Caenorhabditis elegans: one gene and its partner. The protein of the gene in region 2 interacts with the protein of the main gene of each other region in a pairwise test. Each region holds a gene or a part of one and is shown on either strand. Other genes may lie near its edges. The genes, in order: atp-3 and F56D2.2.

Evidence for each region.
Region 1: the proteins of F56D2.2 (region 2) and atp-3 interact in a two-hybrid assay, tested with the Caenorhabditis elegans proteins (2 studies listed by BioGRID).

The regions. Positions count from the first base shown.
Region 1 is NC_003279.8:5,421,431-5,436,299, reverse strand, and holds atp-3 (Oligomycin sensitivity conferral protein), read left to right. Parts: upstream 1-6,480; 5' UTR 6,481-6,493; coding exon 6,494-6,553; intron 6,554-6,676; coding exon 6,677-6,989; intron 6,990-7,033; coding exon 7,034-7,131; intron 7,132-7,307; coding exon 7,308-7,523; downstream 7,524-14,869. Other genes in the region: F27C1.1 (Ovule protein), read right to left, coding at 548-747, 792-1,245, 1,291-1,446; F27C1.11 (Doublecortin domain-containing protein), read left to right, coding at 47-164, 355-488, 1,879-1,956, 2,000-2,067, 2,119-2,209; Cuticle collagen dpy-5, read left to right, coding at 3,249-4,103; F27C1.2 (Copper transport protein), read right to left, coding at 5,145-5,257, 5,308-5,539, 5,595-5,722, 5,789-6,017, 6,065-6,133; F27C1.3 (Dauer Up-Regulated), read right to left, coding at 9,103-9,861, 9,907-9,936; F27C1.4 (uncharacterized protein), read right to left, coding at 13,095-13,514; utp-14 (Small-subunit processome), read left to right, coding at 7,860-8,011, 8,064-8,264, 8,310-8,409, 8,491-8,888, 8,940-9,057, 10,103-10,622, 10,682-10,938, 10,992-11,138 and 1 more.
Region 2 is NC_003281.10:5,580,488-5,596,323, forward strand, and holds F56D2.2 (RBR-type E3 ubiquitin transferase), read left to right. Parts: upstream 1-6,775; coding exon 6,776-6,904; intron 6,905-6,958; coding exon 6,959-7,237; intron 7,238-7,288; coding exon 7,289-7,441; intron 7,442-7,489; coding exon 7,490-7,603; intron 7,604-7,650; coding exon 7,651-7,742; intron 7,743-7,790; coding exon 7,791-7,889; intron 7,890-7,937; coding exon 7,938-8,322; intron 8,323-8,370; coding exon 8,371-8,574; 3' UTR 8,575-8,641; downstream 8,642-15,836. Other genes in the region: F56D2.5 (RBR-type E3 ubiquitin transferase), read right to left, coding at 1-92, 459-581; F56D2.8 (DUF4440 domain-containing protein), read right to left, coding at 1,401-1,448, 1,526-1,701, 1,747-1,924; uev-2 (UBC core domain-containing protein), read left to right, coding at 2,654-2,800, 2,908-3,027, 3,069-3,156, 3,249-3,399, 3,540-3,726; F56D2.3 (DUF148 domain-containing protein), read left to right, coding at 4,575-4,697, 5,152-5,276, 5,422-5,626, 5,674-5,903, 6,118-6,298; Pre-mRNA-splicing factor ATP-dependent RNA helicase ddx-15, read right to left, coding at 8,792-8,909, 8,964-9,324, 9,377-10,964, 11,012-11,108, 11,164-11,219; ucr-1 (Cytochrome b-c1 complex subunit 1, mitochondrial), read left to right, coding at 11,671-11,724, 11,867-11,992, 12,042-12,258, 12,308-12,507, 12,552-12,794, 12,844-12,901, 12,953-13,070, 13,123-13,333 and 2 more; ced-6 (Cell death protein 6), read left to right, coding at 15,284-15,437, 15,783-15,836.

The DNA of each region.
Region 1 (14,869 bases), on a different chromosome or scaffold from region 2:
CAAATTTTGCCCACTGGCTAATTTACATTAAACTATGAATTTCTAGATGATGCTCAACGAGCTGGAGTCGAAAACTTGCGTGTTTTTCAAAGTTTCATGGGAACTGCAAGCATTTGAAACGATTGAGCAGGAGTGCACATATCCAGATGTTGGAGATAATGGAAGTACGTTCACATACCATTAGGGGGCAAGATAAATTCATTGGAAAAATTGTATTTCTTCAAAACACCAAAGCAAATGGAAAATAAAACATTTTCAAATTTTAATTCTGAACTTCACTTTAAACTTTATGTAGTTTTTTTTGCAAAAAGTGAATTATAGCCGAAGATTTTACACGGTATCTTTTATTTATAGGCCGCGATTATGAAGTACACATTCGAACCTTGGAAGGCGGCGGAAACTTCCGACCGTACATTAATATAATCGGAGACAACGGAGATACCGGACACAGACCATATGCAGGAGTAATTGATTTTAATCCAGAAAATGTAAGTTCAAATGAAAAACACAAAGAAGAATATACAAAGTATTTATTTATTTGATAAGATCAATCTCTGTGCTTTTTGCGAAGATCAGCCAGCTTCTTGTTAAGATTCTGAAGTTCACTGAAACTGTCAATAATCTTTTTCTGCTTCTTGATAACTGATCTTTGCAATTGAACTCTCTGAAGAAGATGAAGCGCCGGCACTTGAGCACTCATTGTTGTGGAAAGAGTAGAAAGAAAAGATGAAGTTGTGTCCGACATTTCTGAAAGAATGGTTCATTCGAGATAGTCATTAAAAGGTTCTTACCATCATCGGCCATTTCATCCGTCTTCTGTTCAGAATTCTCATAGACTGTTAAAACATGAGCCGATGGGAAATTAGAACTCCAAACAGTGGTTTTGTCATCATCTTGCTCGGAGAGTTGTTCATCAGACTTTTCAAAATTAAGCGATGTGACACCAGACAGGGTGTCATCATCCCACGTTCCAAAAGTTGAAAATGGGACAGAAAACAGTCCCTCAACATTTTCGAATAGTGATGGGAGCTTTTCCTCTTCAGACTTTGAAGCAACAATCTTCCAAAATTCCATCATCAATTGAGTAGTCTCGTTGATCTTACGGGATTCGATTGTTGTTGGAACGGGTGAGACAGGCATTTGAACTGAGCAATTGAAGCATAGCAAAGGACAGCTTGCACACTTCATGACTTCTTTTGGAATAGACACATCAACTGGGCATGATTGAACTTGACGATCATTTCCCTGAGAAACAAAGCTTTCTGTTAGCCCGGAAAAATCAAAAGTTACCGATTCGATGTTATTCTGATAGTCACTCAATTGATGATCAATCGGAAGTTTATCAGTCTCAATCTCATTCATTTTCTCCATTTCCTGCTCCATTTGCAGTTCGACCATCTTGAGAAATTGTCCAAAAGCCGTGTAGACAGTGATCTTCTTGACCATTTTGTTAGTAGAGTTAGCTTGTTAGTGAGGACGAGTAATGTCGTAATGAAAGAAATCAGAGATTTCTCCTTGTTATATAGTGTCCTTTATCTTGATGTACTAGAAAAGTTAACCTTTCGAGTTACGTGCAAATTGTTTTGATTAAAGTTAAAACTATAAGTTCTTGATGTCACGTCTAAATCGCAAAAATATTCCGAATTTTTTTCGTCAGCTTTCAGTGAAATTCTCGAAAAAAAAAGAATTTTTCAAGATTTTCTGTTCTTTTTTATATGGTGTTAATGATGGAACTTTTGGAAACAGCAGAAAACATTTTTTAACTTTTTAAAAGTGAAAGAAAAAATGTATTTTAAAATTTAATGATTTAATGAGTTTTTCAGCACGAAGATAATAAGTTAAGTTTATTTTGCTGCCGCAAATAATCTTAATTTTCAGGCAATGATAATGGAAAGTATTGGAGCTATCAATCTGAAAGAGTTGCGGAACATAGAAGTATGGGCCAAAATTGGAGAGGTAATATTTATAAAATTAACTCGTGACATATTTAAACTTTCAGCCCATGAATTGGAAGGGAAATATTACAATAGTTACATCGGATGAAAAGATTTATGAGTCAGAAGATTTGTAAGTTGCATTCCATTTTCTTTTAGACACCACCTGAATGTTTTATTTCAGAGAATTATCGAAAAACGGGCAAATCGCATTATCCCCATTGATATTTGTTGGAGTGAATGAGCCGGTTATTGATGGTGAAAGTTACATTTAGATATTATCTGGTTATCTACCTTTTTGTCTAGTCTAATATTGTTTTCATTTTTTGTTGTTGAACAAATATTTATTTCAAATCAATATCCTTGTTACTTATTTGTGCTTCGTCTTCTTTTTTACCACACACGGTTCAATATCACTTAAAGTCTTTCGGAATTCAATATTAATGAATGATTTATGAGTTTTCTATTGAAAATCTTTATTGTTGGTGCTTAACGTTTTTAGGTAATTAAAAATTTGTAAATCTACTTGGTGAAAATAGGCAATGGCTGTTATATAGGCAGGTATGCCTTTGAAAATGTCTACCTACCATGGAATTGAATTGAACATTTTTCGAAGGCCATTGTTTCAATTGTTGTGTTTTTACATATAAAAATTAAAACAATTTCCACGTAAGGAAAAAAAAGAACCTTTCAATAACTATCTAGGTAAAATCATTCTTTCAGAAAGGATGGCACAACTTCATCTCCTTCATCTTTGCCCACTTATTCCACAACTTCATCTTTTTCCACAATAAGTGCTCATGTGCCGGTGAATCGTCTTCATCAGAGAGTTCACTTGCAAAGATCAGTTATCAAGAAGCAGAGAAAAATTATTGAAAATTTCAGTGACCTTCTGAATCTCAACAAGAAGCTGACTGATCTTCGAAAAAAGCACAGAGATTGATCTTGTCATATAAATTACAATAAATCTTTGTGTTTTTCATTTAAGCTTACATTTTCTGGATTAATCACGTTCTGTTTATAATATAAGTTAAAGTTATAATATATTCTTAAATGGTTTTTAATCCCTATCCTTGAGAATAGAATGAAGGTGTGTCCTCATGGGGCGAGGCAATTTTATCCAGTTCTTTGGCAAGTTTTCTCCGTTTCATCTCTTATCTGTTCTTTCGATTTACCTGATCAGAGGAGGCATATAAAAGGAGACGAGATGAATGTGGAACACTATACTTTTCAAATTAGAAGCTTTTCCTTTTTCTTTTGAACTTGCTAACTTTATCTTTAAAACTTTTCTCAAAGTCTCTGTGTTTTCAGAAAATGGTAAAGGCCGTCGTCGGATTCGGCGCTGCATGCGGAATCTCTGCTATCGTTGCTTGCCTTTGGGCTGCACTTGTCATCACAAATGACATCAATGACATGTATGATGATGTGATGGGAGAGCTCGGAGGATTCAGAGATATCTCTGATGACACTTGGGGAACCCTTCTCGACGTTCGTCACGGAGCCGGAGAGTCTGCTGAGCAATACGTTCGTGGAATCTTCGGACGTCACAAGCGTTCCAACAGCCAATGCTCTTGCGGACTTCCATCTCAAGGATGCCCAGCCGGAGCTCCAGGAAACCCAGGAGCCCCAGGAGAGCCAGGAGGCACTGGACCAGACGGAAAGAACGGACCAACTGGACTTCCAGGACTTAACATTCCAATTCCAAATGACTTCCCTAAGGAGTGCATCAAGTGCCCAGCTGGACCACCAGGACAAGATGGACTTCCAGGACAAGAAGGATTCCAAGGACTTCCAGGAGACGCTGGAAAGCGTGGAACCCCAGGAAAGGACGGAGAGCCAGGACGTGTTGGAGATATTGGAGATCAAGGAACTCCAGGACAAGACGGACAACCAGGACTTGCTGGACCACCAGGACGCGATGGACTTACCGGAAAGGGACAACCAGGAGTCGCTGGACGCCCAGGAATGCCAGGACCACGTGGAGAGCCAGGAAACAACGGAAATCCAGGAGAGGAAGGACAAACTGGAGCCCAGGGACCAACTGGACAGCCAGGAAAGGACGGATTCAACGGAAACGACGGAACTCCAGGACAAGCTGGACCACAAGGAGCCGTTGGAGCCGATGCCGAATACTGCCCATGCCCAGAGAGAAAGCGCAGACGCGTCTAAACTGTTTTCGTATTCAAAAATAAATATTTATGTATTCAATTGAAGTTTATCACATTTTTTGAATAATTCTTTTTGAAAATACGATGGCAGGTCTCGACGCGACTGAAAGACGTAAGGGAGTTCGCGCCTTTAATGTATTTCTAACGCTCCGCCCCTGAAGATTAGGTCTCTTTAGGTATTAGGAGAACATGTTCTATTATTTTTATGCTTCATGAATTGATGCAAAAACAACTGAAAAAATTTACTTTTAAAAGAAAAAATGTTTGAAAATCGGCGAAAAAAATAGAAAACGTTTGAGTTTACAGTTTCGCCGCCTATATATATATATAGGGCCCCTATAGGGCGCGCGCCTAATACCTAACGAGACCCATGCTTCGGAGGCGGAGTGTGTACATTGGTTTTTTCTGCGTCCCTATAATAATTTTTCGAAATTGTTTTCTAATACTAAGTGAAAATAAATGGAAATTCGAAGTAAGAAGAAAACAATTTATGAAAATTGCACGTTTTGAGATTTCAAAAATGATTACGATTTATTTTTCGAAATTCGAAATTTTATAACAAAACTTCAATATCAAATATAGCTTTTCAATCGCGACAAGACCTGATTCCGCTTCTTCAAACTATTTAGATGATCTTTTGTAAGGCTTATCACGTTGTTATTTAATACTTCCGATTGACTATTTGCATAACTTCTCACGAGGTGCAGTATCTTATCAGCTACAAGATTCAATCTTATGATAGAACAATAACAGGACAAATGTTCATTATCATTTACAACTTCAATAGGGCAAATAGAAATTCAATAATAAATAAATAAAATCAGAAAATTGACAGCTTGCTCTGAATTAGACACTTCTTCTGACTGAGATTCTGGTGATAAAAAGAGGCGGGATCCTAAGGTGCTCATCGACCCGCAGGAGAGAAACTAAGGTCGATTAGTGAGGAAATACATTTTAAAAGATAAATCAACTAATAAAGAGGAAAGATGAATTGATGATGTTTGGTGATTTGTTTGAGGATTGAGATTGGAGATCGCAATTATTAATGACACGCATCGGTTTGGAACGAATCCGTCACTTCTCCATCACAATTTCGGAGTTGGAGAACTGCAAACAGCCAATGTCCAAATCCTGCTCCTAATACCACCGCAGCAGCTGAAAAAATACACAGAATTATTGATTTAAAACTAGAAATTTGTACTTACTTAGATAAGTGTTGTAAGTCATCACAATGAGCATGAGCCAATAGGCGAGCACCAATTGAAAAATGTACAAGAGCATCTGAATGAGCCGTTGAGGAGAGAATGGCGAAGTTGCAGGGGTCCTCGCTACCGAAGCCGATATCAGGAACGGTTCAGATTGAGGCTTGTTGCTCTGTGAGTGGGTAACCGATTGATGGCAAGTGCCTCCAGAAGACCGCGTTGTCTGAAGTGCAAACTAGGTCGGATAAGATATTTTTTAATGAAACATAGAGAAATATAAAATTACTTACCTCCACGCATGATTTGTTGGCAAGAACCTGAGCTTGTGTTTGCGTCATTTGCAGAAATACACGGAACCACTTGACACCTTCATATGTGGCGCCCATAATGAAAATAGCAGCACACGATAAAAGCATACCTGAAGAGTTGTTAAAATTAACTAACAGTTAAGAAATAAACTTGAATTGAATAATGAAAATCTTACCGAAAAGTGAATCCGTCCTCCAAAAATCGAATAGAATAACTTCTTCAAATCCTCCATGGAACCACATTTTCATCATATGTCCCTCGTGTCCACCATGACCTGCGTGTGATCCATGAGACGAATGTTCATGATGTTCATTTTGATCTTTTTCATCGGGCACAGGAACCGCTTCTACTTCTTTTCCAGCGAGCTCATCGAGAAAGTTGTCTGCAGCTTGTGCGTAAGCACTCTGAAATGCTAAATGTTAGATTTTTGAAGCAACTATTAAAATTAAACCTTATTTTCTGCAGCAGCAACCACCAAAGCCACAGCCAACCATCCTAGGATGGCCAATTGTGTACCCATGATCTGAAAATATATGACGTAACATGAAAATCAATAAAAATTGCGTTTAATATGACTAGAAGTTATACAAGATAACAATTTCAACTGCAGCTTCAACATTTTGCGACCTTTTATACGCAACCTGTCATGAACATGCATTTTATCGAGATGGAAAGTTTGCAAACAAGAAAACTCCACAAAAAAAATTGTCTAAAAATTGCAGCACCAAATGCGCTCTACTGAACTGACAGCCGGTGATTTGGCTGCGTACCTTGGCTTATGGTTAAGAGAGTGATACTCAGCCAACGACCGCCCTTTTTCTCTTGAAATTAGCTTTCAGTTCTTTTTTATCGAATTTCAGTTAAGTTTTTGTACTATTTTATGCGAATTTTTATCCCAAGCAAGCCTCTTTACCTATATTTGACTATTCTTCACGAAAAAGTATGTAAAAATCCACTCTTTATTATTTTTTTCTTAATTAAATTTAAAAAGTTGTTTTAATTAATTCGTTTGCTTGCATACATTTATTAAATTTAAATTTTGCCTAATTTCTTAATTTTGCAGGTAATGGCGCAACTCATGAAACGCGGATTCTCCACGAGCGCTGCTCTCGCTAAGGCTCAGCTGGTGAAGACCCCGATTCAGGTTCATGGAGTCGAGGGACGTTACGCCGCCGCTCTTTACTCAGCCGGACACAAACAGAACAAGCTCGACCAGATTTCCACAGATCTGAACAATGTTCGCTCCGTGTACAAGGACAACAAGAAGTTCCAAGAGTTCGTCCTCGACCCAACTCTCAAGGCCAACAAGAAGAAGACCGCCATCGAGGCTATCTCAACTAAATTGGGGCTTACCAAAGAGACTGGAAACTTCCTTGGTATTTTGTTAACGTGTAATTACAAATTTAATTGTAACTTTCAGGACTTTTGGCTGAGAACGGACGTCTGAACAAGCTCGAGTCAGTTGTTTCTTCATTCGAATCCATCATGCGCGCTCACCGTGGAGAACTTTTCGTTCAGGTACTTTTATTATAACTGCCAAGAAAAACAATGTTTCTTTTGAAATTTGTTTTCGTAAAATTATAAAATATGAATAGCGAATGTTTTCAATACGTAGAAATGGAAATTTTCAAGTCTAAATTTTAATCCTGAAGATGCTCGTACGTACCGTTTTAAAAACTAAAAATCATTTTCAGGTCACCTCCGCCGAAGAATTGAGCTCATCAAACCAGAAGGCATTGTCTGATGCCCTTAGCAAGATCGGAAAGTCTGGACAAAAGCTCACGGTGACTTATGCCGTCAAGCCATCGATTCTTGGAGGACTTGTTGTCACTATCGGAGACAAGTACGTCGATCTGTCGATCGCTTCCCGTGTCAAGAAATACAAGGATGCCCTTGCCACCGCCATCTAAATTTTTCCCAAAAAATTTAGTTCCTCATCCCGATTTTCAATCTGTGCTTCAAACCAGTTCCCTGCCTCATCATACCCAATCATTGAAGATGGTGTTTTAAAGAGTTGTTTAGTAATCGGTTTTATGTATTGTCTTCATTTTCTAGTGGGTCATAACATCAGCAGTGTAATTGTTTGTTCCAGAATTTTAAGTTTCTTTATTGTACTCTCAACAAATAAATAAATAGATCTGTGAAAAATTTCAATTATATTGACCTCGTTCTGTCGGTTACCATTTACTTCTTAATAATGTTTTGAAAGAAAACAGAATAAAATTATAGAAATTTGAGAAACAGAAATGAGTGATGACTCGGATCTTGATGACGTTGCTCATCAGAAGCTTCTGCAATCAATTCACACACCTGGAACTGTAAAGAAAAATCGTCTGAAGAAAGCATCAAAAACAAAAACCGACGCAACTTCTCTTCTATCTCATCTTACAGTTTCAAGGTATTTGAAAAACAAATTTTTTTTTAAATTTAGGATTTTTGCAATTTTACAGACCTTCAACCAACAAAGCCAAGCAAAGTCTCGGAATTGGTGGCCTAGAGTCGACAGAAAAAACAGGAAAGAAGCGAAAATCGGAAGCAACAGCAGATGAAACAACTACGAAAAAGAAGCTGAAAAGCAAAACATTAATTCCTCTAAAAGATGTTGAAGCTCGAAAGGAGATTGAAGGAAAAATTGCGTTCACTGATTTGAAGTGAGATTATTGATTTGTGATTTAATTAATAAGATATTTTTACAGAAAAGAAGTGACACAAAATTGGACAGAGCTCGTTCAAAGCAACCGCGTCAGTGATCAATTGATCTTCCCTCTCACAAAACCGGATGGAATTATGTGGGGTGTAAGTTGTTGCTTCCAAATTAAACTGTTCTAAAATTTAATAAAAGTGGAAAAATTGCTCCTAATAATTATTTTCGTTCAGGACGAGAAAACCGAGCCCGTACTGACCGAAAAGGAGATGGAATTGATGAAGGCTACAGATATTAAAATGGCAAAAGATCGTCTTTCACAAATGCAACGAATGCGTGCTATTGTTGGAATCCAAGAGGCCAAGAATCGATATATGAAGAAAATCAAATCGAAAGGATATCATCGAATTCTAAAAAGAGAAAAACGAAAACAACTTTTAAAAGAGTTTGATGATTTGGTTGCTCGTGATCCATCCGCTGCTCATGAAAAACTTGCCGAAATGGATTTACAGCGAATCATGGAAAGAGGAAGTTTGAAGCATCGCGGACAGAATCAGAAATTCAAACAGATGCTGGAAAAACATGCTAGCCGAAATCCAGAGGTCAAAAAATTGCTCGATGAGCATTTGAGGTTAGATATTAATTTTGGAACAAAAATTTTAAAATGGGAATATTTTTTCAGAATGGGAAGAGAATTAAAAGCAAAAGTCGCAACTACCGCTGAAGATTCTGATGGTGAAGCTCCAACTTCAACGGAAGATCCACAAAATAAAAAGAAGAGTATTCATGAGTTAATCAAGGTAAGTGAGACATAAACTACTAATTCATTAGACGGATTCAAGTTCTCAATAAGCTTTCTTCTTATCTGCACCGAAAACATCTTGATTGAGACCAGCCAGGGTTTGGTAGTTCGGGTCATGAGTTGCAGCCTTAGCACCATGTTGAGCAGGAGCTTTTGGTGGAGCTGGTGCACCATTTCCTCCTCCTCCACCTCCACCAACACCACCTTTTTGATCGAACACGTTGTTATTCAAACCAGCAAGAGTCTGATAGTTTGGATCGTGTGTTGCAGCCATTCCAGGTTTACCTCCTGCTGCTGGAGCCTGTGGTCCTGCTCCACCACCACCTTTCTTATCGAAAACATTATCATTCAAGCCGGCAAGAGTTTGATAGTTAGGATCATGAGTTCCGGCCATTCCTGGTTTTCCGTCCGGAGCTTTTGGAGCAGCTCCACCACCACCACCGCCTTGTTTTTGCTCAAAAACGTTATCGTTCAATCCGGCCAATGTCTGGTAGTTGGGATCATGGGTGTCAGCAATTGCAGCACGATTTTTCGGAGGCTTTGGAGCTCCGGCAGGAATCTTTCCCTTTTCCTTGGCTGCTGCTTTTTTCTTTTTTGCCGCAATCGCATCGTTTTTCTTCTTTTTACGACGCTTTTCATCATCCTCATCATCGTCATCATCATCACCTCCAGTAGTTCCTCCAGTTGTTCCTGTTTCATCTGAGTATTTTTTCTTTCCTTTCGACTTCTTCCCGCAGTTCACCAGAATAGCTGCCGGAACTGTCCAACACAGAGCAAGTTGCAGAAGTATCATAAAAATTGGCTGAAATTTTTATATTTTTTGGATTTTTTAGTTTTCAAACAATACCTGTAAACCAAATAACTCCATGCTCATCATTTGTGATATAGTTATCGATATATCCACAACTGTAGTTTGAGATCGAAGAAATAAAAATAAAAGAGTTATCAAGTAGAGGATTTTGAAAAATGATGATTTATTCTTCACGTAGTAACATTCTATTTTTTAAAATTTTATATTTAAAATTAATTTTAAAAAATTTCAGGATGCCGCCCAAGAAGCGGAGAAAGAATCCAGAAAACAAGTTGGCACGGCTCTAGTTGATACTTTCCTCGAAGACTCCGATGCTCAAAAAGTGACACTTGCTCAGATGCGAGCCAAGAAACGACAAGAAGCTGCTATAACTCGAAGTATTTCAGCGAATACTGGTGCATCACGTGAAAATCCTCTATTCGACGTCGATGACACTTGGCAAGAGAAAGAAGATGCGAAAAAGGCAAAGCAGAAGAAAAAGAAGCTACTAAAAGCGAAGGAGTCAGCGAGAAAAGGAACAATTGGAAAAGTATCATATGTTGATAAGAATTATGATCCGAAGATGGAGGCTAAACGTGCAGAAACTTTTGATGAAAAAGTGGAAAAGGCAGTGGATTCAGCTGGAGTGCATGCCGCTGAAAAACGACAAAAGGAAATTGAAATCGATCCGAGCAAATTTCTAGAGCTCAACACAAACGACTTGACACAAGTTTCGTCGGATTTTGTTGAGAAAATGGATCAGTTTGATGAAGGTAAGCTTAATCTTTTTTTTTCTTTTTATTAACTATATTCCAACGATTTTTTCCTGCAGAAGCCGCTCAAGTTATCAATGAAGCTTTCAAGGATGATGACGTCATTGGAGATTTTGAAGATATGAAAGAAGGAGTGAAAGAAAAGGAAAAAGTTAAAGATGTAGATCTCAATTTGGCCGGATGGGGCTCATGGGTTGGACCAGGAATGACTGAGAAGAAGCGACGCCAAAACTTTGTGATTAAAGCAAAAGAGAAGAGAAGAAGGGACGGAGAGAGAAACGGAGTAATTATTGCTGAAAATATGACGGCTAAGGATGTAAGCACCTGATATATCTCCTAGATTTTTTAATTGCAAAAATGAGCTTTCAGGGTATCGGAAAGATCCAGCCACGTTCTCTACCATTCCCCTACTCCCGAGTTGAAGACTATGAGGCTGTGCTAAAACAACCGTTGGGTCTTGAATGGAATATGGAGAAGATGCGAGATGAGTTGTGCAAACCTGCGGTTGTTGTTGAGGTAAGCTTTATTATATTTTACAGTTTTATTGAACATGAAAATTATGTTGAAACAAAGAGAAGGAGAAGAGAACCGTGAACAGTGGAAAAAAACGAGTGAAAACAAGGAAAGAAAGGCATTGGACTGGGAGTGTGTGATGGGTTGGACCTGAATTGTTTCAAACAAAAAAAAAGTTGATAAAACAACAGATGAAGTGGTTATAAGTAGGGAAAACATGAATAATTTAAAAATAATTAGTTTTGATCATCCGAACTAGACGAAGATCTTGCGAAGTCAATGACATGGCAACGATTCCTCCAAATCAACGAAAACGTTTTCTTCCGTGGTGATTCCTCGAGCGTACTCGTACATTATGACATACAAAGCATGATCATCGAGCATATCGTAGTCTTCCTTCTCGTCCAGTTGTTCCTTGGAAGATGCTTCCACCTCTGCAGGCTCTAAAGTCTCTAGCTTCTCTGGTACAGCTGGTTCTTCTTGTTGTGGAACCTCTACGAGTTCGACTGGAGTAGTGTCTTCAGTAACCGCGTTGACAAGTGTTCCGACGGTTTCAGCTGCAGATGTGACCATTTCTGATACGGAATTCCAGATGGAGGTTGCATAGGAGAAGTAAGACATTTTGAGAACTTGTGGTTCTGAAAATGAAATAAGTTTTAGTCATTTTAGATAAGGAAAATATGAATAGAAGGGCTGAGGAAACAAACACGCAATTTCATAATCTATTGTGCCAAAAAAGGGATAGTTACGAAATCGAGGTAATATGGAAATCAAACTACATAGAAGAAATTAAGAACATAGAGCCTAGGTAAAAAAAACGACGGACGACTGAACACCCAACGTATGGCAGGCTGCCAAATAGGCGTGACTGTGCACAAAAACGCTCGATCTGATGTAACAGTATACACCTTTGTAATCAATAACTTTCTGGCGGCTAACGAGACCATTTGATTATTATTCCAACATAGTAGAGGAAGAGAAGAGACAATATAGAGTCCCAGAATATGGATCAATATAATAGGTTTTTGAGAGTTGGTCTTTTTAAATTTGGTTTAGAAATAAGTTTCGATAAGTTTTTAAAGAATACAATTTTTAAAATCTTCATATTATTTAAAAATGTAAATCGAAAATAATGAAAGAAGAAACTGTATATATTAGAGAATCGAGTAGTAGTAGTGTTTAGAGAATTAGAGATAAAAAAATACAGTACCCCTATGAGACTCAGTGCAACCTTGCATATGCTCCCCTAAAATCATATGCAACTATTTGGTTTTTTTTAAAATCAAATTGCACAATATTTCGAATTTTCAGCCGAAAGAAAAATTCAAAAATTCTTGCAACTTTTGTTCACAATAAATTTTTTCAAAACTGATTTTGATATAATTTCGGAATAGGGACCACTTTTTACATTTGAGACAGCTCTTTTCGATTTTAAAATATTTAGAAAGGTGTATAATGTCACAAAATATAAGCGAACATCTATCATCTGTGCATATATATGCACTGGCACGGGAGACAGGAACCGAACGGCACATGTGACGAGTTCATTTTGATGTCACAAGCTTTTCCCTTTTTCGTTAAAAAAAAAGTAGACTATAAAAACAAACAAACACTGTTCTAACAAGAAAATATGCAAAAATGAACACGCAAACTGGCGAATGTTGTTCGAGTTGTAATAGGTTGCGAAATTAACCGATAAGAAGCTCGATATTCTGTTATTAATAGATTTTTTACATTAAGTATTGCCCATGATTTCTAACACCTCAAATCCCTGTTGTCTTTGAAATTTCTTGTCTGAAGTAGTTTTTATTGCCAAGGACATTGTAGAATTGATCACGTACGAAAGTTTATTGTGAAACATTGTGAAAACCGGTAAATATTACCGAAAACATGACATAAATTGGACAGTAATATTAAAATAGACCCGAACATGTATAGGATTTCTTCGTTCATCCCAGATCATTTGGAATTCTTCATCCACTCGTAGTTGTTTTGCACCATCTCAAATTGATTGTGCCTGATTGGACCCGTCTCGTCTGGATTCTCATGGATCACTTCCCATTCGATCGATGTATTTGGTGACGATGCTCCTATCGCCTCCTGGTGAACATCCTCTGTCGTCTCCTTTTTATCCTCTTGAAGATCAGACGACGCCGCCGCCGCCCCTTGTTGCTCCCATGAGAAGACTTCAGAAGAAGCCGTGGCATCCTCTGAGCCAGATCCCCACTCGAGAGCAGTCTGACTGATTTGTGTTAGAGCCTGTGTTGCTCCTTCGGCAAGTGCAGAAGCTCCTCCAACAAGGTTCGCTGCCTGTTCTGTGACTGCTGGGACGACGGTTGTGGACATGAAGGTGTAGAGTCCATTGACGATGGAGTTCATTGTTTAGTTGTAGTTTTCTGAAAAAAAATAATATATACAAAGAGACAAGTTAGACCGGCAACGGAAGGAAAAAAGAATGAAAGTGAAAGTTCGAACGGAGTAGGATTTACAACAGGATTGACTTCATAAAAATTTAAATCAAGTGCATGTATTTTATCCTAGTGTACTATCTGCCTAGATTTTTTGAATCTAGGTGTAATATTTACGGAAAAAAAAGAAAATGAAGAGACAAAGTAGATATATCTCCGATGTGCTCTTTCTACCACCAGAATGCGAATGGCAACTAATGACTAGTAACAGAATAAGAAAGACGAGAAGATGAAGAGGAACGCTGTGTTGTCCTTACGTTCTTCCTATGTCTCTTTCTCTTTTCTCGTATCGGACAATCCCTCCCCTTAGATGTGTGCGCGCGCGCTGCTTCTCTCTCTCTATTCACGTTTATGAGAGAACGAGTCATATTATAGATTGTGTATGTTGGTTAGAATGAGACGCAGGAAACCGAATGCTCCCAAACGGGTGCAGGTCATCTTTTTGTGTAGAGGTTGGTGGGTGTTCATATAGATCGGAGAAAGAATGACGAAAAATGATTGACAAGAGAATACATATTTGGATTGGCTCACACCTGTATTAATTGAAGAAGATCAGTGAGCTAGCGAGGAAATTTGAATAACTTTTAAAAATAGCAAGAAAACTTCTAAAGATTATCATTGAAGAGGAGCAATTTTCTAGACGTTTTAGTTACAGTAATCCCTGTGTTACAGCAAATCTTGTCTCCTCTTCCAAAAAACCATTACAGTAATCATAAATATTGGAATTATTTGAAATCAACCAACAAAACTTGCAATTGAAAATTGTTAGAATCTATTTAGAAAGAAATAAAAACATCAAATATATGTTTACACCATGACGAGTCACTAAAACTAATCGAGTTGTTGACTGAAAGTAATTCAAAATCATCGTTCGGCGCCGTACATTCTGCTGGGTTTTCACACGTTCCTATTACATTGATAAGAACTTGAAATGTTTCAAAACATTGTTGAAGCTCGAAAGAAAATCGATGATGTGTGTGTTGCTTCTAGGGACAGCTTTTCCTCACTCAGCTGTGAAATGCTCTTCTTCTCCTTCTCTTACTTCTTTTCTCCAACTATTTTCACATTTTTCCCCTCATGAGTTACTAGACACAAATTTTGAATAAAATTTCTCTATTTATAATATTTATATTTTCAGGCTGGAAGAGCTATTCGTCCAATCAACAAGAAGCATCTACTCGGAGAATAATTGGAAGAATTGTTAATTTTTTGTTGATTTTTTAAAAAAACTTTATTGTTGGTTTTCTCTCTTTGAAGTGTCACCTG
Region 2 (15,836 bases):
GGAAGAATGTCAAGAGGAAGATGAAATTGATCGCCGGAGTCAGATGTTCCTTCAATTGTGACTGTTGGATCGTATAAGTTGTCAAATCCGACCTGAAATTGCACTTGACTATTCTAAAACTCATTTAAAAAAACCAACTAACCAACTTTCAACCGTAACTTAGTGACTCTTCTAAAAAATACTTTACTCCATATATGGCCATATTAGTTTATCTCGTACAGGAAAATAGTCAACCGTGGCCAAAATTTCGGGCTAATGATTATGGAGGCTATTGAAATTTTCTATACTTTGTTACCTTAAATATTTTTGATAACTTACATAATTACGTAGAAAGTGTAGCTAAAATATAGTAAGGGTAGTTTCAGATAAATAATTTTTTGTTGTTATTTAGTGGACATTAAATTACTTTTTTAAAAGTTAAAATACCCCAGCTTCTCTCAAAAAACCAAAATCTTTACCTCAATAATTCCCTGGATTTCAGCATTCTTATCACTCCAATCACTGGATTTCGCCAGTTTCTTCTCTCTTAGAACACTTTCCAATGCTTCCAATTCATATATTTGCAGGTCACGATCAGTCATTTTTTATCGATTTTTAGACAAGAGACGCAGAGATTCAATAGACGGAGTTTAGGTAATTTAGAAATGAATGTTCAGGAATTTATAGAAAATATTTTACATTATTAGTCAAAAATGTTCAAACAATATATGAGGAAAGTTTGCGGAACAAAAATCAAAATTAATTACTAAAATATTGCGAAATATTGCAAAATTGTAATGAGTAAAATTGCGCAATGTGATAGATAACCTGTTGTGGAAACGATGAGAAATACAATTTGAAACTTTAAATTTAGAGTATTATCAGTGAGAAATTGTTCAACTTAAATTGTGTTTTTCTCTACGTGATGTGTACTTTAATTGCGTTTCAATTGTTTGTATTTAAACAATCGAAGAGTTCAAATTTGCAGCAATGCTTGAAATTGCCCCCAAAAGTTCAATTTTTCAATTTGCCAAACCTTTCACTAAAATTTTTGAAAAATGTATCTATCCATGTACCTTATTCTTCAGGAATTGATAAAATCTATCGATTCATAAAAAACTAAAGCTATTCCAACAGAATAGAAAAACACAATGTTCAAAAATGAAAGAATATTAAAATCATGTGAAAAGGGAAAACTTCCAGAAAGTCGACTCTTCTCGTTTACTGCGTTTTGTGAATATCTGAAAACTTTGTACGGATTTGTTACCATTTCTTCAATAGGCCGTGTATCATTCTGTCAATTTTTGGTGGATAGGTAAAATGTAACAGCCAATTTGATTTCTGAAAAGTTTTCGAAACATTTTTAAATATATTTAAAACATTTATTTAGGTCATACAAGTCCCGATATTCGAATATGAAACTACATCCAATCACTGAAGTGCACCATTGTCCAGCCTTTCCATTTGTTCTGCAAATTAAAATTTATCTACAAATCTATTCTGGTGATTGCGGCTGGATAAAATTTTAGTCCAACTCCCTGATTACCTCGTATTTTATCTTGAAAATAGTCGTTTTTTTGGACAAAAGGGGCGTGTTGGGGTAATATCTGACATTAATCTGAATGACTCCATACTCGTAGCGAACTCGTTCAATTATTCCGGTCGGATAAGATTCAAAAGATTTGATGATTCCCTGTGCCGCTTCAATCATGCCACTGACAGCTGAAAATAACTAAATTTCAAAATTGTTTCTGATATCGTACTTACGAAGCATATCATCCGGAGCAAAAAGATCCACTACTGCAACTGGGTCCCCTGATTTGATAGCTGCCTGGAACTTTTCGAAGAACTCCTTCGGTACGTTGGCATATTCTTCGGGGACTGGATCCAATGAAAAGACAATAGAAGCACTTGAAAGAGCTAGAAGAAAAATTGGAAGACGCATATTTTGGTTTGGCTACATGGCGAACTGAGCATTTTTATAGTTCGAAATGCTAATTCAATTAGAATGTGAAAATTGTCAATCAATGCGGAGGTTGATGTTTGGTGTCGTATTGATGATCATGATCATTTTGGGCATTTTGAAGACACCACATGGGTTCTGCCGCGTACGGTATCCGGTCTCGTCATGATAAATTTTAGCTGAATGAAAAAGCGTGTGCAGTGTGTGGCAGAGGAGTTGCGTCATTCCACGTTTAAAAGTGTGCCCAACATCAGATATACCTTTAATCCTCCAACCCGTCGGAATCAAGTAGCTCACACACACACACACACATACATAATCTGAGAGCACGTGTAGTTTTTGTTACATGCTCAATTCTAAAACAGAGGGCGCGAGAGAGAAAGAGGCCATCTCTAGGACAACGTACTAATGATAGAGAGACGGCATCCGCTTCTGTGTGATTATGTAGCTCTTTTTCTCTCGTACCTGCCTCTTCTTCAACTTGTGATATTATCCCACGTATTCATACTCTCTTCTTCACTTTTTGTTTGAAGCTTCTGGTTGCCTTAGGCCTCGTGGGATAATATGCAACGTTTTGTGCGCTTTAAGAATATATTCACTGTAGCTTTTTCAAATAAGATCCAGCTTAGGTTCAGTTAACGCGGCTCCGGAAGCTTCGTCACGAATTGGATTACTTTGACTTTCCAGATTAGAGCTTAAGCTTTCAGAAACATGCGAAGACGTAGCAACAGACAATATGTTGATCTCTCATATTTTCGCGAAACTGCCGATGCGCTATTATTCGACGTTGAAACCAATTCACGCGAATTCACCAATGAAATCAACACTGTGAAGGAGGAGAAAGCCAAGTGGGATGAGGTAAGCTTTCACACAAAGTTTAACTCGCCTGCCTACCTGGGACCTAGGCCTGATTTATGCCTACTTCAAAAGTGGGCGTGGCATGTGTCGAAATAACTTTTTTTCAGAGAACACCGCAAGGGTATACGGCAAAGCCAATTAGTTTTGAGGGCGCAGACATATGGTGTTCTTGGATATGTACAGTACCTGGACCGAGAGGAAGCCCCTGGGAGGGAGGGGAATATGAGGTTTAATTACTTTTTAGTTCGCAAAAGTATATTATCTCCAGGTTTCCGTGAACTTTCACAAATGGCCTATAATTCCGCCAATTTGTGAATTCAAAACGCCGCTTCATCATCCGAACGTGGACCTCAGAGGTTGGTTAGAACTGTTTCGAAAAAATATGTTTGAGTGTGAAATACAGAAAACGGTAGCAAAAAGAAACGCATTATTACAAAAATCTTTACAGGATCAATTTATCTTAAAATGCTGGAACAAGAGCACTGGTCTTCTGAAACTTCACTCAAGAAACTTCTGAGGGAAATCAGCAATCTACTTGCAACGCCCGATCTTACTCAAGCTGCAAATATTGAAGCCTGGATGGAATATGAGAATCAGCGGTTAGATATATTTTAACGGCGCACAGCTGCAAATGTGAACAAACTCGGCCACCTATTCTTCTAGGCCACTTCGATTTGGAGCTAAGCGTCGTTGAACAGAGAAAAGAGAACACTTAACTTTTAAAATTATCTTGTTCCAGTGAAAATTACGAGGCTAAAGCTCGAGCTTATGCTTGGACAGTTAACCCGAACGCCGTGGGATACATGGAAGTATCCGAGAATTCCGGAATTCAGAGGGAGACAGCAAAGGCTAAGTTGGCAGTGCAAAATGGTGCCATGGAATCGGACGAGGATGATGACGATCTACCAATTGACATCGAAAACTAATATTACACAAATTTTTATATTTTTGGTATTGGCCAACGTTTTCTGTTGAAGACCTTTTCCACTTTCTCAAAACTTTCTTGCCGACACTCTATGGAATTTTTCAGATTTTTCTCCAAAAAGGTGCCAATTTTCTATACACATTTATTTAAATCCCAATGCCCCTTTTTTGCAGCAAACTTACCTGACCTATGTGATAATTTTTCCCATTTTCCCTACTTTCCCGATCACACCAATTTTTCATTCTCTTTCCAAAACCATGTCTTTTTACGAAAAAAGTGATTATTGTACCAAATAAAGCTATTCCAAACTCGTTGAGTCGGGGTGTCCTCCCATTATCTCTTAATGAAATGGCAGAACAAGAATAAATCTACGTAGTCAACATTTGTAGGCAGGGAGGTATGCTTGACTAAGCTCCAGTCTACTAAGGATTTAAAAAACTCGGCCACCGATTTCTTGTTCTCGGCCACGTTGCAATGAACCGCAATGCCCTTCAAAAAGAGGTGATACTCGTGATTGCACGTCATTACCTCATCCCCAATGTCTATATTTACTTCTCCCGCACACCTTGTCAGATATCTGCACTGTTCATGGTGTGCTCATCGCCTCGCGGAGAGAGCTCTAACCCAAAAGTTTTAAACGTAAAAAGCCGGAAACGGTATAGGTTTATCGGTTCACCGAGAGCGCGCCTAGATCGTGTGGTACCGCCCCTCCTCGCCTCCCGTCAAAGGTCTCTATTTACTCCCAAACAGTGTGCTCTCGGAGCCTCCCGATCCCCCTCGCTGACCATTGTCCACTCCACTCGACCGTGCACAGTTGACTCCTTTTTTTGTACTAGTCGGTTGTTGGAAATGAAACGTATTCTTTTGATTTCTCTATTTTCGGCGGTTGTCAACGGCTTTTACTACAAGAGAACTTTATACGGAGATGCTAATGAGGGAGCTGCCATGCCAGACTATGTTAATGCTTATTATGTGAGTTTTCTTGGCTTGTAGGATTTTTAAGTGGCAGTTTCGGCAGAGATTTCACATCTAAAATATAGTTTTTGAGTTGTTTTGCAACAAGTCAGCCAAAAAATCGGTGGCCGAGTTTTTTGCTTTCCGCGGCCACGTAGCGAAAATCCCAAGGTTAATTATTACAAGGTCACAACCATTTCGGTATGTTGTGTAGATTTTTCTAATTGAAACTAGATCAGAACACAAACGCCTGCTTGCTTGCCTTCATTCACCTACGCTTGTATCAAGATTGTGCACATTGAAAGTAGGCGTGTAGACAGGCACGTAGGTACCAAGGACTGAAGATTTCATGAAAACAACACCAAACACCAGAGTCCAGCAAGAAAAAAAACCAAAAAATAATAGGCAAGCTTTCATGAAAACGAGTCTGCCTACCAAGCCTTATTGAAAATTCTGAACATTCATTTTCCAGGGTTTTCCAACAATCCCAACACAAGAGCCACGTCGGCGACCATCTTTCAACATGAATCCACCACAAGGATATTTTCATCGGGAGCATCCATTTGACTTTGGGCCATTTGGTTATATGAGAGCAAGGTAAGTTCCGGAATAGGTGGCCAAGTTTTATCTCCTCGCGGCCACTTAGTAAAAAACTGACCGTAGCGCCAGATTACAACGATAATCTATTCAAAACTCACTTTAGACGGTACCTTAGCAACAAATAATCTTGATTTTCCTTCAGAATTGGAGAAGCCAACTTCGGTGAGCCCATGGAGAAAACTGACCGCGAGCGAGCTATGGAACGGGCCAAACCGGGATTTTGGCGTCAAAACCAACGCGAAACCATGGATCGGATCAAGAAAATTATTGGAGAGCAGAGAATGAATATGGAGCAGAAGCAAATGCATATTCGAAGAGTTCTAGCAAATGAGAGTGATGAGATAAGGGTAAGAAGATAAATAATTTTTTCTCAACAAACACAAACATTTTTCAGTCCAAATTCGCTGATATTCACAAAAGACTGATCATGAAAAACAACAAGATGACCGTCTCCTCTCCAGTTCCAGAGCTTAGCAAACAGGCGAAGAAGCTTGAGAAAGAGGCCAAGAAAATTATGGAAAACAAGAAAATGAGTGTAGAGAAGAAGCAGGAGAAACTTGACAAACTTATGCTTAAGGCTCCAGAGAACGTTAAGAATGAGCTCAATGCTATGAACGATTCGGGGTGAGCATTGAGTTTTTCATGGTAGGCAAGACGCGCATGTAGGCAGGCGCAGGTTGCATGGGAGGCAGGAAGCAGGCGTTACATGGTATTCCTAAAAAGATTCCAATCCGTGTAACACTCTCGGAGAATTCAATCATATCAAAATTGATTGATGCTTAGTCGATTTTTGTGTTTCTCCTCTATTGCTCTCTTCGAAAAATCTCAAATCTTTCAGATCAACACCTGCCCCAATTCAAGCTCCATTCCCAGCTCCAGGACAAACCGAGGCTCTTAATCGGGCAAACCCATCAATGGCTTCTCAAGTTGAAGTAATGACTCGTAATGCACCAACTCAAGCAGTGGTTGAAGCTCGTCAAATCCGAGTTTCCGAAGATGGAAAAACTGTGGAAATTTAAATAATCTGTGCTCTATGAGCAATTCTTCTTTTTGTGTATTTTACGTCTAATTTTCTCAACTGCCCAACGTCTTTCCCTTGTGCTCCATCCCCAGAAACGACGAGCTATCTGACTGTATATACAAGTGATTTCAGCTCGGCGTTTGCTCACCTGCTCAGTTCGCCTTCTGTAAATATAACCTTAATCCATTCAAAATCGTTGTTATCAATCTCAGCATATCAATTGTTTATCAGTGTTATTTAAATAATAAATATATGGGATTTTCTGCGCTAATATATTAGAAAACTCGTATCTTTCCAATAAAAAGTGGAATTTGAACATCCACGCTTTGTTTCTGTCAGATGGAGCGCGTTTGGTGCATGTTTTTTCAGCGGTTTTTTTGCCCTTTTAAAAAAGTCTAGATTTCTAAACATTTTGAACGCGATACCAGTTTTTCTTGTTCTAGTTTGTGTTAAAATAATTTCTACTAAATTTCAGATGTCAGACGACAGCCGTGAAACTCAGTTATTCGAGCTAGAAGCACTGGAGAGTGTGCTAAGGGAGAATAAATTGACGAGAATCAGTGATTGGGCGGATAAAAATGCAGAAATTCGGGGAATAATTGAAGTAGAATATTGAGCGTATAAAGAAGTTTATTATTAAATTTTTTCTTGATTTCAGGTAGGATTTGACACATTATCCGATCCAAAAGTCACAATTGAAGGAACGTCTGACTCCAGCGATCATTTTTCCATCCCCCTAGACATTCTTCCACCAATCCGATTGAAATTTCATCTTCCAAATGATTATCCCTCAGTATCATCACCAAAACTTGAACTGGAAAGTTATTGGATGAATCAGGAACAAATGACATCTTGTGAAACCGAGTTGGCAAGGATTTGCGAGGAAAACCAGATGATGGAGGTGCTTTTTATGTGCTATCAAACGATAATTGATTCGGTTAGTTTTTTGTTCTTTTTAACAAATTAAATATATAAAAATAAGTTTCAGATAGACCAATCTCACCTAAAAATCATCAATCTGAACGAGGCGTGTGCGCTGAAAAACAATGGAGAAACTATTGAATCGCTGAAAAAGAAAATTCTTGGAAAAGGCGAAGAAGCTGCTGAAGAGCACTTTGTCAATACACTTTTCGATTGTGAAGTAATTTTTTCGTAGTTATAAAATTATACTATTTTTTCAATCTTCCAGGTATGCTACGACTCTCAAATGGGCCAACATTGCATCAAATTCCAGCCGTGCTCTCACGTTTTCTGCAAACAATGTACTTTCGATTATTATCGTACAATATCGAAAGGTGTTGTGGTAAGATCCAATCGATTTTTTTTTTGGAAAAATTGGATCATTTACAGTCAAAAGCCATGCAGTGTCTAGCAGAAGGATGCAAGAGTGAAGCACAACAAAATACGGTTAAGGAGGCACTCGGAGATGATTTATATGCAAAGTGAGATACATTTCCAAAAAAAAAAATCCAAATTTGAATTTCCGCCAGATACGAGACGATTATGCTGGAGAAGGCGATTCGAGAGATGGAAGACACCGTGGAGTGTCCCAGAGAGAATTGTCAAAAAGTCGCCTACGTCACGGATAGGTATAGTTTAAAATATAAAAATAAATGTAAAAAAGAAGAACATTTCAGACAACGCTTCCTGGCCGAATGCTCCTACTGTAACTTTTCGTTCTGCAATCTGTGTAAGCAGACATTCCACGGAATAGAACGCTGCAAATGGAAGAAAGGAGACAAAGAGCTTCTTGTCAAAAGATGGAAGGATGGAGATGAAGCTGAGAAGGCTGAAATGTGCAGGCAATTTGGAGGAGAGAAGCGTGTCGAGGAGCTTGTGGAGCGGTTCCTCAATGAGGAATGGCTGGATTCGAACAGCAAACCGTGTCCCAAGTGCTCGGTGAGCATAGAGAAGAATGAAGGATGCCACAAGATGCACTGTACGAAGTGTGACACCTACTTCTGTTGGTTGTGCTCTGAAACTCTTGACAAGGAAGATCCTTATAAGCATTTTCAGGGAGATGTTGGTTTTTTCTTAGAATTGTGTAAGAAATGTATTTTTCATTTTCAGGGATCATGCTCTGGACGTCTGTTCGAAGGAGTTCATCACGATTTGCTAGATAACGATGACGATCTTCTTTTCGATATGGCATTTAACGACGGTAGTGACTATGACAGTGATGAGACCGTCGAGTATCCTGAATCCGACGAAGATATTGATGCGGAGGATTGGTTAGAGCAAGAAGGACATTTTGACGAGCTTTTCTTTAATTAACATAACTTTACGGTTTTCTCTAAATTTACGGATTAATTGTCAAATAAAATGAATAGTTCATCCTTTTAGATTTGGTGATTGATTTAAAAGTGAAAATAGAATTAAAAGAAAGGGGTAAGAAATAAACAAAAAATAAATAGAAACAATCAAAAAATTTGACAAGGGGCAATAGGGATAAAAGAGGTTTGGGGAAATGAGATCAGATGATTCGGAGGCATCAATAGCCTCTGCCAGCGTTTCTCTGCAGGGTCTGCATCACAGTAGTCAGCTTCCGTTTCGTGTCTCCATCTGGGAAGTTGTCGAGATCATAGTATTGAGGGGCGATTTGAAGTAGCCTGAAACGCATATCTAGTTAGGTTTTGAATAATATAATTTGCAAATTAACTCACCATTCAGGGCGCACATCAGTTACAGTTCTGATGAAGTTCTTTGTGGTTAACACGAACTCATTGTAGAGTGCCCACTCCGGCTTATGATCGAGAACTGTGGATGGATGAAGGTTGACGAGCTGATTATCTTTCACCGTCACGTAGTGTCCACTTCGTTCCAGATGAGCGACTTGCATGAAAAATCCAGCTACAAGAGCTTTCCTGATGTTGAGATAATAGTCTCGAGATTTGAAGTCTGTTGAGACACGTCGAAGATTGTACTTGTCCATAACACGCGACAATTGTGTGCGGACTGTGTCGGCAGTTTTCATAGTTCTGTAGTTGATGAAGTTATCGTAACACCACTGCGGATCTTCTTGATCTGAAATATGCGAAACTAATATTTGAAAAAAAGAAAAACAAAGTCAACTTACTCTGCTTGAACGAATGATAGACATTGAGAAGTGTGAGATGATCTCCATCAATATGTGCAAACCGAGCCTTCGCCTCATCGGCTTCTGTTCTCATTTCATTGGGACGAACCCAGCACTGCGGAACCGAGAGCATTGCTGTGATCGACAAAATTTCATTTGAGCAATTGAGTTCAGTGGATGTGATAAGCATCTTTGCGAGCTGAGGATCAAGCGGGAACTCAGCCATCAGACTTCCTAGTTCAGTGAGCTCTCCATCGTCGTTGATCGCCTGAAGATAGTTTAACAGTTCCAGCGCTCTCATCAATGTCTCTGGTGCGGGAGGATCCATGAAATCGAAGTGCACAAGATCTTCGGTTCCGAGCTTCTTGAGCTGCAGCACAACAGATCCGAGATTCGACCGAAGAATTTCAGGATATGTTTGATCTTGCATTTCTGATCCGTAAGCCGTTTCGGTGTAAAGCCGGAAACATTTTCCTGGCTTTGTTCTTCCGGCGCGTCCAGCTCTTTGCATAGCAGAAGCTTTCGAAATGGGACAAACAAGCAGCGACTCGACACGAATTCTTGGATTGTACACTTTTTGCTTCGAGAATCCAGGATCGATAACAAAGACAACGCCATCAATAGTCAATGATGTCTCAGCGATATTTGTAGAGATGACACACTTTCTGCTGATTGCTCCATTCGGTCGATTTGGTGGTGCTGGTTCGAAGATTCTCTGCTGTGCTGCTGGGGGAAGTGTAGAGTACAACGGAATGCAGCTGAGTGCTCCAGCATCTGCTCCCAAGGCTTGAATCTCACGATCTATTCTTTTGCAAGCTTCTTCGATCTCTTCTTGACCAGTGAGGAACAGTAAAATGTCACCTTCAACCTCCTCGACCATATGAATTTGGATTACAGTTCTGATCGCGGCTTCTAGATAATCTTTCTCCGCATTTGGAGTGAAGAAGATCTCAACAGGGAATGTTCTTCCGGGAACACTGAGCAACGGGCAATCCTCGAAATATCTTTGAAACTTTCCTGCATCCAATGTAGCGGACATGATTACGACCTTGATATCAGCTCGATTTCTCACGATTTCCTTGATCAGTCCCATAAGAATATCTGTGGCGAGTGTTCTTTCGTGAGCCTCGTCGAGAATAAGGACTTTGTACTTATCGAGGAGCGGGCTGTTCATTGCTTCTCGCAGCAACATACCGTCTGTACAGTATTTGAGAACAGTTCGTTCGCTGATGCAGTCTTCGAAACGAATACTGTATCCCACTTCTTGTCCCAAAACTACGTCCATTTCCTCAGCAACTCTTGTCGCAACGCTCATCGCAGCGACCCGTCTAGGCTGTGTGCAAGCCACCAATCTCGCTTGACCGGGTGGTTGTCCTTGTTGCTGCTGCTTCATGAACTCGACGGCCCACTGTGGGATTTGCGTGGTCTTTCCGGATCCCGTTTCTCCGACAAGAGTGATGCACTGGTTGTTCCGGAGCAGCTCCATAAACTTTTCCTTATATTCCCATACTGGCAATTGACTTCTTTTCTCCCAAATTGCCCAATATCGGTTACTAAATGGCTGGTTGTTGTATGGATTGATTTGGATCTGTAAATTTGGAGATGAGAAACAAAAATTCGTTTACTAAAAAATACCTTCATATTTCCAACTGCCCCAATCTGTCTTTTCCGGTCGGGGGAGGAGCGTCTGTGTGGCGATCGGGAGCGGGATCGGGATCTGCGGTTAGGAGATCTGAAAATAAATTATTATTATTATATTGAACTGGGGAAGCAACAATTTTACTTACCTTCTTCTGTCTCCGCGTCCGCTGCCATCTAAATCCAATCGGTGTCTCGAAGACATCGCAAGTTTCTCCTTCAATAGGAAAATTAGAGTTTCAAGTGGCTTTATAAAGCGTTATACGAAAATATTAGGTATTTCGAAAAGCTACGCGCAGGATAAATGGATTAAATGTATGACAAATTAAGAAAACTAGTTGAAAAAGGAGAAAATCAGCAAATATAGAGATATTGGGAACAAAAGACAGAATTTCGCAGAATATATTCGGAATAAGTATGGAGCGATTTACGGGTGCGCCTTTAAACTTTCGGTGGGTCTCGAAGCGATTCCGCTGTCTGCGTCTCTGCACTGCTGGGCGGCTTGATGGTTTTAGTTGTTTTCAGCTTCTTTTCGAGTTTCAGATATATTTTTTCAAGTTTTTCAATTTAAAATAATGTTCTCTGAATTTTTATCTATCGATTAATATCCTATTTATATATTTTTATTTTCAGAGAACAGGGGAAAACTTGAGAGAATGGCTCTCAGACTCGCCGTCAGCTCTGCTTTGCGTCCGGCTCTCAATAGCCAGGTAATTTTCTTGTGAGATTGCTAAAAGAGAAATAAAAACTCTTAATTGAAAATAAAATTGAAAGTTGTATGCCCACAGGTCGCATGGAGAACGTAACAACGATGATAATGTAGAAAATCTAATTAAATTAATTAATTTTCAGGTTCGCAATGCTTCATCAGCTGTCTCCGTGAAGGACGTGCTTGCCAGCGCTCCACAAGCTGAAGTTACCACCTTGAAGAATGGCTTCCGTGTTGTCACCGAAGATAATGGATCCGCCACCGCTACCGTAATTTTGCCCACTAGTTTTCTAAAATTTCTTTTGTTTTAAATTGTAGGTGGGAGTCTGGATCGAGACCGGATCTCGTTTTGAGAACGAGAAGAACAACGGTGTCGCACATTTCCTCGAGCGATTGATCCACAAGGGAACTGGAAAGAGAGCATCTGCTGCTCTCGAATCCGAGCTTAATGCTATCGGAGCAAAACTCAACTCGTTCACTGAGCGTGACCAAACCGCAGTTTTTGTCCAAGCTGGAGCTCAAGATGTTGAGAAAGGTAAATATTTGTAACTTATAAAATTGTGTTAATTTTCCAAAATTTTCAGTTGTCGATATCCTCGCCGATGTTCTCCGCAACAGCAAGCTTGAGGCCTCAACCATCGATACCGAAAGAGTTAATCTTCTCAAAGAGCTCGAAGCTTCCGATGACTATCATCAGCTTGTCCTCTTCGATATGCTCCACGCTGCCGGATTCCAAGGCACCCCACTCGCTCTCAGCGTTCTCGGAACCAGTGAGAGCATTCCAGTAAGTATTTATTTGGGTTTACATAAAGTTGATTATTTTTTCAGAATATCTCTGCTCAACAATTGAAGGAGTGGCAAGAGGATCATTACAGACCAGTGCGCATGGTTCTGTCCGCTGTCGGAGGAGGAGTTTCCAATGTTTCAAGCCTCGCCGATAAATATTTCGGAGACTTGAGCAACGAATACCCACGAAAGGTTCCACAGGTCGATGGAACACGATTCACCGGATCTGAATACAGATACCGCAACGATAATGTCCCACACATGTATGCTGCTTTCGCTGTTGAGGTACAAATAATAAATGTGTGTTCAGTCTTTCATTTTACTTCATTTTTAGGGTGTTGGATATGCCCACAAAGATGCTCTCGCTCTTCAAATTGCCAATCAATTCATTGGTAAGTTGGCTTTTGTGTGAATTTTTCAATTCAAACCGTAATTTTGATGAGTTTTAGGCCAATGGGATGTGACCCACGCTACATCCAGAACAGCTGCTTCCAGACTTGTCCAAAAAATCGGACACGACCACGGAGTCCATAACCTCCAGCATTTCAACATCAACTACAAGTAAGTATCTTTTTTTGCAAGCTTATTTAAATTTTTATTTTCTTTTTTTCAGAGACACTGGATTGTTCGGAATCTACTTTGTTGCTGATGCTCACGACTTGAACGACACCAGCGGAATCATGAAGTCTGTTGCTCACGAATGGAAGCATTTGGCCTCTGCTGCCACAGAAGAAGAAGTCGCCATGGCCAAGAACCAATTCAGAACCAACTTGTACCAGAACCTCGAGACCAACACACAAAAGGCTGGATTTAACGCTAAGGAGGTTTGTTACTCTGCAGAAAATGCTATGGATAGTTATTTCATTATTTTCAGCTTCTTTACACCGGAAATCTCAGACAGTTGTCAGAACTTGAAGCTCAAATTCAAAAGGTTGACGCTGGAGCTGTCCGCGAGGCTATTTCAAGACATGTGTACGATCGTGATCTTGCTGCTGTCGGAGTTGGTGAGTAGTTTTCCACTTGCTGTTGTTTTTACATTATGAGAATTGCAAACAATTTCTCTTTTCTAGGTCGCACAGAAGCCTTCCCCAACTACGCCCTTACTCGCGCTGGTATGTCGTGGTGGAGAATGTAAGCAGTGAACGATGACGTCTTCCTCATCTCGGATTCCCTATGTACTTTTCGCTGTTCGTTCACCGTCTCTCTCTCTCTCTATCTGTTGTCAGATACACTTTTTTAGAAAACTTTTTGCTGTTCATTTATTTTCTTTTTCCAAAAATTAATTTTAATTTAGAGTAGCGTTATTTGTTTGTACGGTTCGGAGTAAAATGAATGAATTGACGAATTGTGCCAGAAAATGTATATCTGCTCGATTATTTTCTGCAGAATTATAATATCTGAATGATTTCCTGATGAGATTGTCTGCCCATCAAATCAGCGCCCTCAATTTTCCCCCGATGCAAAAAAAAAAACACAACAAGACCACTCCCAATTGGACGGAAAGATATCTGCGTCTCCGACCGATCCATTGCATCTCTTGTCCACCGGTTGACTGGCCTTGACCACGTTCGCACACTTATTGTCAGCCTCACCCGAGGCTATCCGCTTACTGAACCCCACTTTACGCGAAACTTTCTGTATATAGGTGACTGGCGTTAAATAATAATAGCATCGTTCCATTTTACAGCTAATTTCTTACCTGAAAGTTTTCGAATCTTGAAAAAAAAACTAACTGTCATTTCAAGTAGTAATTAGTAATTCTTTATTTCAATAAAAATCAGCGAAAATGATCCAAAGTCTAGAATTTTAACAGGAAACAGTAAAATTGTAGAATACTGAATTCCCACTTCTCCTCGAGAAGTACACGAGCTGCGTAAATCGACACATGGTCGTGTTATTGGTTCACGAGTGTGCGCCTTTAAAAAGTACTGTAGTTTCACCTTTGTTTTTTCAACTTTTGTTGCTGTCAGTTTTTCACGATTTTTCGATGAAAACATACTTCCTGATTGATCAACTTAAATTTAAATTAAAAAAAAAACTTCCCGAAAAACCATTAAAATTAAATGAAAATTCCGGAACAACAAAAGTTTGAAACTACAGTACTCTTTAAAGGAGCACACCTTCTCGTATTTAGCACAAATTTGTCGTGTCGAGAACATTTATCGAATTATTGGTCCAAAAATTGTCTGGATATTATGTGAAAGCCCGTGATTGAATTTTTTCTAGTCCAAAAAACATTTCAATTTGTTTTTTTTCAATTTTCACTTTGACGATCACAAGTTTCATTTCTTTCTCTTCTCTTGCGATGAATTAATAAAATATCATGTGACTATATTTCAATTCTTTTTCCAAGTACATTCTTTCAGAATTTCTCAAAATTTTCACCCCAACAAGATGACATATCTGCGTCTCTCCTATGTACCACTTCTAAGTTTATACTTACTCAAAGTCTATTTACATTCGGACCCACCAAAAGAACCTTTTCCTTTATAAATTGTTTATTCTAATAATGGACTCTCTTTAATACATCTATCCGATCCCTCTTCCAACTGACTCATTGAATCATCCGGTTTCCGACAATTTATCCGTCTATTTCTCCTCCAATTCATGATCATTTCCATTGCTGACTCATCGTTTTATCAATTCTTCTTCTTTTCTTTATGTTTACACAGTTTGCTTTTCTGCTCTTTTCCTCCCCATTTCTTCGCCGAAATCTTGAGACTTTTTGAACCATTTTTTTAAACGAAAAATGTTCTAAACTTTTTCTATATCAGATGGCAAAAGACATTTACAAGACCTTCAAACGATCGGTCTCCGGAATTGTCGGTGGAAATAATATTAATGGAGAAGGATCTTCAAGCCCGTCGACGAGTGCACCACAAGTAAAATATCGTGGTGGGACCGGAAGAACGTGGATTCATCCGCCAGGTTTTTTAAATTTTTACTTTGAAAAAATTGAAAAAAATTGTTTGAACAATTTGTTTCATCTTTTTATTGAAAATATGTTGTTTATTAAAAATATGCCGTAATACAACACATTTTTCAAAAAAAAATTCCTGATGAAATTTTTATAAACATTTTTTTACGAATTCCCAAAACAAATTTTAACGCCTTTTTTGTAACTTTTTGTAAAGTCGCTTTAGAAATTTGTAAAATTTCATAAAATTTTTGTTTAAAAATAAATGTCTTTGCTTTTCCAAAAAATAATTTTTCGAATTATCTTGAACATTAAAAAATCTTCATTCGACAATTATTCTTTTCTTTAATTTTCAGATTATCTTATCAATGGCCATGTGGAATATGTTGCACGGTTCCTTGGATGCGTCG